2 linked regions of the Caenorhabditis elegans genome follow. The protein of the gene in region 1 interacts with the protein of each later gene in a pairwise test. Each region holds a gene or a part of one and is shown on either strand. Other genes may lie near its edges. The genes, in order: exc-1 and exc-9.

Region 1 (3,930 bases):
CAAGCATGAATTACAGTAATTCTGTAAATTCTGAACTTAGAATCATCAGGGAGCACACTTGAAAACAAATGAAATAAGGTATGTGAGAATACCGTATCAATCCGATATATCTGGTACTTCCTCAAAAATATCTATCAGAATATGAGTACGATATATTTTTACTAGAGTGCATCTTTTCGCGCGACCATCATGGCTCAGCAGGTAAGACTTCGGCACAACGGGAAATGCTATCAAAGTTCAACACACAGGTATAAATTGGGTAAGAAATAGGCAAAACTTGGGTAAGACTTGGGTAAGACTTGGGCGACGCCTCGAGACGACGAGGCAGTCCACGACTTTTTTCATTTTTGAGGCGGCGCCCAACTCTTGCCCAAGGTTTACCCAAGTCTTGGCAACTCCTTATAAATGTTTTTATTTTTTGGGCAAGGCTTGGGTAAGAAGTTGCGAAGCCTTGGGTAGGAAGCTGGCGGCAAACGCCGAGACGCTTTAAACAATTTTTCCACTGACTATACTCTACTTTTAACTTTTAAATTCGGCCAATTCAACAACACAAAAGTGGTTTTTAAGTAAGTATCCAGTGGCGATACTCACCATCTTCCATCCTAAATAAAACTTACTCATATAATTTCTCAAAACCCATGTTGGCGTCAAAAACAACACTTGACGAAGAGAACGTTCTGGGATATGGAATTTCCCAGAGAACAATTTGTTGAAACTCTCCTTCAATAAACCGAAATGGCTCCATTCTGTCACAATGACTTCTTCCAGCTGATTGTGGATCACCATTGTTCAAGCCTCGCAGAGAATTAATCAGTGAGGATTTTCCAGACCCACTTCTTCCACAAAATCCAAAATTTTTTCTATTAGCGTCAATTGGAAATGCACCACTGTGAAATGTTTTTCCGGAACTGTAGTTGTAGTCATTGAGAACATTGTAGATTGGGTAGTCATCGGTTGTCTGAAACAGGGATGTACGGCCTCAAATTGTTGTCATTTTACTAATTTTTTGAGGACAAAAATCAATAGTTTTGGTCAAAATTGTATTGTCAAATTTTTGATGTGTGCGGTAAATTTCGAAACTTGCCGAGCTCGGCAAATTCGCAGCACACCACTGGTTTGAAATATGTTAGACTTGTGGTAAAGCTCTCGCGCACTTAACATCCGATTAATATTGGGTTCGTGTTTAATTTTTGAAAAAACTGGCTTATACATGCACTCACTTTAATAGAAGAAACTGATGCATTATCTTGCAAATTGGGTGCCTTTTTTTCCTGCTTCGCAAAATCAAACTTCACATGTGGAATACCCACTGCATATGCTAACTCTTCCTTTTCAACTTTTTTCTCTTTTGGAACTACAGGCGGGTCACGGTCTCTTGTGTTCAAAGCCTCGAATAACTGAATTTTGTCTTTCGCATAATAAATGGGGCGTTTTATAACTGGAGGAGCGTAGTGAGATTCATCTGGTTTTGGGGGCAACGGACTGGCACCTCTTGTGAGTACGGACGAACCAAAGATTTTCTGGAAAACAATTTTACTGATTATTTATTTTTCAAAAAATATGTTTAGGAATTGTTGCAACTATGTACAGAAAACTTTGCATACATACTTGAAAGAAATAAAATATTTCAGTATTAAAATTACATATTTAAAACATTTTTCACAACAAAATTATGAACAAAAAAAAACGAAAAATCCTATCTTTTCGAGTATCCTTACCCTAGTATCTTCATGATGGAATATTCCATCTTTAGGCGGATCAGACGGCGGTGGAATACTTGGCGGAGGTGGTGGGCTTGATCTAGGTGGACTACTAGAACCAGAGTGCTCACTAGACCCCAGTAATATTGGTGTTTCTTCGATAAACGATCTCAAGCTGAAATCAATATCAAATGCAAACGAACAAGTATTTGTATACATTTTTCAGCTAACAACTACCTGTGTGTATCCCGCGGTGTGGGTGGTGGAACAGTAAAAGGATTAGGCGTATCTGGTTGGTAAATGGGTGTCGGGTGCGTAATTGTAATGTTTGGTAGGTCGGCGAGCGTTTTTGCTGTTGGAAACGCAACATGGTTTTCCACTTTCTCGTTTTTTGAGGTTTTGTGTCCCATCCTAAAAAATTCAAGTTGAAATTTGTTATTGGCATGTATTCTCGGCATTTTGCATTAGGTTCTTGCTTCAGTTTAGCCCGAAAATGTTTAACATTGATTAAAAGTTGGCAAAACTAGGGCCAACCTTGGCGAAAGTTGTGCAAGATCTTTGGGAAAAAAATTAGGCTGAGCACAAGTTTAAGCCAACTTTAAACCAGCTCAAGTTTGAAACGACACCAGAAATGTTTGCACAAAAGTTTGGTAAAAGTTGGGTCAAACTCGGCGCTGCTCAAATTAAGTTTTGCCACAATCTCGTCCAAGTTGCGCCAAATGTAACCCAAATTTTGGCAACGTTTGATAAAAATTAACATTTCCGGCAGAGCAAAACTTGGCCAAGAAGCTAGTGCCAAACGCCGAGTTATAAATTTTCATACAAAAGAAAACGAGTGGTGAAAATTTTGAAAATTTAGAAAGTAGAATATTGAATATACATAGAATATGTGAAACGCGAAGAATACAATAGGACGAATCAACGCACTCCGTTTTAATCGCATAGTCTTACTAAAAATTGAGAGATTGGATGAAAAGCGGAGAGAAAAGTGGTTTGCAACAAACACGGAAAATCAGTTATACAGTATTTTTCTCCGCATCTTTTTTTTCCCGAGTTACTGGCACACTTTTTATTTCCATAAACCTGCACTTTATGCAAATTACGGTGAATCATTCCAGCCGTCTGGTCTATCATTGACTTTTGTTTTAACAAGTTTTAGATATGATGTTGGTAGATGGGGTTTGGATTCATCGTGAATTAATCTCATTGAAAATTTGAAGTAGTTCGGATTCTGAAAAGGCCATCTGAAAATGATCCTAATTCCATTTGGAAAGTTGAAAACTGTAAAAATACTAATTTCAGGCTTTTCGTCGTTGGAACTCAGAATATCACAGTTTTACGCACTTTCAGTTATTTTTAATGAACACAATGCATATTTATTGCTTATGCTTTTTATTTTCCGATAAAACGACACGGAATATGTAAAAAAAACAGTCAAATAATAAAAATAAAAAGAATTAATTAAATATAATAGTGCAAGCGCGCTCAATCGAAAAATTTTTTTTTTAATTTTAAAATTTTTTATTTAAAAATTTAAAAATTTTTCTGAATTTTTTAATCATGATATTCGGCCATAGTAATGGAATGGGATGTCCCCATAGGAATGTTTTAAAGCAATTTCCCCACTGAGCAGAATTCATGGTGAAACATTTTTTTGCCAATGGGAAGGTTTTATTGTAAGGTACCGTATTTTCAGTCATATCTGAAGTACTAAAATCTGGTTGTTTTAACATTAAAACTGCATTTTCTGTGTAAATATAAAAGTTATTTGAATTAAACAATTATACCACAAAAGAAATACGAAAAAAAAATTCTAAATCCAAATTTTCAGTAGCAACTTTTCAATTTTGACTAACTTAAGGCAGACTACCGTTTTTCTTCTATTAGTCTTGCATGCATATCATTTTTAGTTGCATTCCATAGATACCTTTTGAGTTTTCCATATATTTACAATCTTCCTCACTCTCCCATCTGTCACCATCTCAGCAACCGGTGAGGTCAGGCGGATAATAAAATTTTTGATGACATCGACACACGGAATGACTTCCTAAAACAGACGACTACAGCATTGCGTGTCTATTAATTATTCAATGCACCTGAGCAATGAGAAGTTACAATTTCCAATTCCACCTTTTCGTAATCATAACTTTTCTTCCATTTCGTAACTCATTTTGGTAAGAATTTCCGTCTTTCGGAGCGAGAATATTTCTTTTCTGACGTGGTAAATTCA
Region 2 (3,625 bases), on another chromosome or scaffold:
CGAAAGCTTCTGATTCATTTTATAATTTGCCTGAAAACGTAAACGTTGACCATAAATACAATACTGTCAATTTTCGGTTGATTCAAGTTGAATTCATTTTTGGAAAACCTTAGAGTATTGGCGTCCAAGTGTCATATTACTTTTGAAAAATGAAGCAATTTGATTGAGGTAATAGAATCAAACAGCTCTTGAAATATAGACCAAGCTTTGCTTTTGTGGGTTGTTTATTAATTGCAAAGCTGTAAGCAAAAATCTTTGAACTGAAATTATTTATGTCTAATGTCTGAATGTTAGTCTATCTTTGAATTTGAGTTTGAAGACCCACAATAGGATTTGTAATATACGTCAATTTCAGCTTACTTGTTCTAATATTAAGAACACATATTACATATTTTCACACTTATAAAGATTTTTTCCGGATTTTGTTCGTTGTTATTTTGAAAACAAATCTTACTATCAGTAGATCTTTTTTTAATATTTATGGATGATATCAGCTCCGTAGCTGGAAAGTATTAATAAACATCGTAAAGTACTCAGACTTTCAGTTTATTTGCTTGATTTTTCGTTCTGTTTTAGACCCATTTAAAAATGTTATTTTACATATAAGTAATATATTTCTATCAATAAACTTTATTATGTCGAATTGTTTGAGTGGGGGAATGTGAATGTCGTAGAGACACAATTTCTTTTCGAAATATCGAAAAAAGAGGCAAAAAAACGAATATTAAAATCAGTAGTAGGTGACGATGTGGCGTGTGGGTACGAGAATTCTACTGTTGCGGATAGAATGAGGACTGATTGAACGTGGAGAAGCAGTTGATGGCTTAAACCTGAAAATGTTGAGAATTTTGAACTGAAAAATTAAACTGAGCCATTCAATTGTTAGAGGAATACTATTTTCATGTTTTCTATCATAAATTTAGGAAATTTCAAACAGTAATAATATTATAAAGCGTTTCAAAATTTTGTTTTCCAAGAATTTGAAACGTAGAAAATAAACCTTACTAAAGGTTACTAGAAACTCAAGTTAGTTTTATAAAGTAAAATAATTTATAGTAGAAACAAAAACTCTTCTTACCTGTCCAGTTTGTCCTTGATGAAACGTGTGTGACTCGGTTCCACCGTGGCCGTATCCACGTGGTCCGAACAAAGCTCCGTAACATCGGTTACAGTATGGCTTGCCCTCTCTCTGAAAATATATAGATTATGAGCTTTTGAGAGAAATATTTCAAAAAAGAAGTTATAGATGGAATGTCCCTAGGTCTACAAAGTTCTTTTTTTGGGAAGTATACTTTTTTTGAAAAGTATACTTATAAGCCATAAAGTTTTAATAATCTGTTAATGATCGATTATTGGAATCTAGAAAATTTCCCAACATAGGTTTTGAATTATATATGTTCACGGCTCCGTAAAACTAAACAAACCTCCGAATGACTTCCAGCTGCCAACGTCTTCTTGCATGCTTCATTCTCACAACGAAGACATGGACGATGCCAGTCGAAACCAATTGAAGTCACTCGTTCGGCTGAAAATAAAAGATTTTCTAATGAATTAGTTGTTATAGAATATTACCGAAATACACAGCTTTCTGGCAACGCGGGCAATTTGGCATTGTTGGCTCTCTGAAATGGAAATGGATAACGGGATATTCATTGAAGAAAAAGAAGAAACAGAAAGGATAAGAGAATTCTAAAATAGATGAGAGAAACAAAAAAGAAGGCAAAGAAGGAGAAGAAGATTTTGAGTAGCTTCTGCTGTTTCTGTCACGCGCGTCTTTTATAACCAATGTTTACCAAATTTTATGAGGAAAAGCTCGAAGACCAGATTACTGTGAGAAATAACAGATGAACTCAGAATTCCACGTAAAAAATGTTGAGCACAAAGGAGGAAAATACAGAGAACTGAACAAATTTAGAACAAAAGGCCACGTAAGTTAAAGATGGAGTTTATGATTTTTCGAACTATGAACAGAATGTATAACTGCAAAAAAAACATATTTCCTCTAAATACAGTTAGTTTTCCCATGCATGTAGTATTGGAACACCCTGAGCCCTAATTGAAAATCCATTGTCATAATAAAACTTCCGTAAAAAAAGATCAACGCCAGTGAGAATTATGTCAAAATAGTTTTGAAATGAACAAAAAAATAAATCGAAAATTCCAAAGTGTCTTTGGAGTTTTAAAATTTTCAGTTAGTTTTGGTAAATTGTCAAATTTTCTAAAATTGCAATTTTTTTGAAACATTCGGAGGATTATTGCACCTTCGAATTCCAAAACTACGATATATGAAAACTGAATGATTACCACTTTTCTGTAAATTACTGTAAATTAAAAATTCCAACATTTTTTTTGAATAGTTTACAATGATATTAGATAATGTTAGCAGTTAGAGCAATTTCTAAACTATCTCAAATCAACTTCTAAACACGTTGAAGCACTGACAAATTTCTGAAAAAAAAAAACGTTTTTTACGAGGTTTGCGAATATTAGCCGTACTACAGACAACTTGAAAAATTAGCCTTTCATACAAGTACATAATTACATGCAAGACGATAAATTGATTTTTGTCAATTAGTACTACCCACCACACGCAAATAAAGCGAATACCTAACATGGTGTGTAGGGTGTGTCATAGTATTGAGGAAAAAGGTATACCTAGACACCTGCCACCAGAAACAACACAATGTGACAGTTGGCACAAATACAATTCTACTGACTGACTGAAAGAGAGCAAGAGACGCAGAGAATTTTCCCAATTCCACACAAATTTCCCCACTATGAATAGGTCTGAAAGCCGAAATAAACCGAGTGAAAAAAGAGAGAAAAGGCAAGAGATTATTAGTTTCGCGGGACCGGAAAAATGGAAAAATATTTGCATTTTTTGAATGAATCAGCGGAAATATAACTGATATTTTGTGTAAACTATGTATGTAGTTAGTAAACAAAATTTGAATTTTTTTTTTGATATTTGAGTGAAAATAAAAAATAACTTTCAACAATTTTTACTATTTCCTATGCTACGGTAAGTTTAGACTACATCACTTCAATAATAATAAAATATAATTTTAATATTTTTGTTGCTGCATCACAGGGCAATTGAAGCAAAGAAAGGGGCACCACATCTGTTCTTTTACAACTTTTTACCACTGACCGCGTGCGCGGGATGGGAAAAGAACAGGCAATGAACAGGTGCAATTTACACTTCTATGTCTCTAAAAATACATGTTTCTTCTTCTTGTGATGGGGTGTCACAAAAGGACATATTTGGATTTAGAAAGGGAGAATAATATGAGAAGATGTACAAGGGTGACATGAAATTAGTATTAGGAATGGTTTTTTCTCAAGTGAAGTAAATTTGCCCATTAGACGATAACTATTTGATTAAAGATTAATGGGATGGTAAAATAGTTCGAAATAATAATATACATTTTTCATTGAAAAAACTGGAAATTAGAGAACGATTAATCTAGTAAACAGAAGAACTAGAAAACAACTTATTACTCATTCGTACGTCTGTGGAAGTTGAAAGTTGAGTTGAAAGTTAAGGATTACCAATACAAATTAATAATACACTGTTATAAATTAATATGCAATCCAAGAAATGTGATACGAAAACCCCTGGGTC

What was found.
Region 2: the proteins of exc-1 (region 1) and exc-9 interact in a two-hybrid assay, tested with the Caenorhabditis elegans proteins (one study listed by BioGRID).

What each region holds. Positions count from the first base shown.
Region 1 is NC_003284.9:15,475,293-15,479,222, forward strand, and holds the start of exc-1 (IRG-type G domain-containing protein), read right to left. Parts: upstream 2,118-3,930; 5' UTR 2,111-2,117; coding exon 1,938-2,110; intron 1,876-1,937; coding exon 1,719-1,875; intron 1,521-1,718; coding exon 1,221-1,520; intron 959-1,220; coding exon 618-958; intron 1-617.
Region 2 is NC_003282.8:7,939,195-7,942,819, forward strand, and holds exc-9 (Cysteine-rich protein 1), read right to left. Parts: upstream 1,871-3,625; 5' UTR 1,794-1,870; intron 1,623-1,793; 5' UTR 1,613-1,622; coding exon 1,573-1,612; intron 1,526-1,572; coding exon 1,425-1,525; intron 1,190-1,424; coding exon 1,079-1,189; intron 891-1,078; exon of another isoform or gene 870-890; intron 831-869; coding exon 825-830; 3' UTR 618-824; downstream 1-617.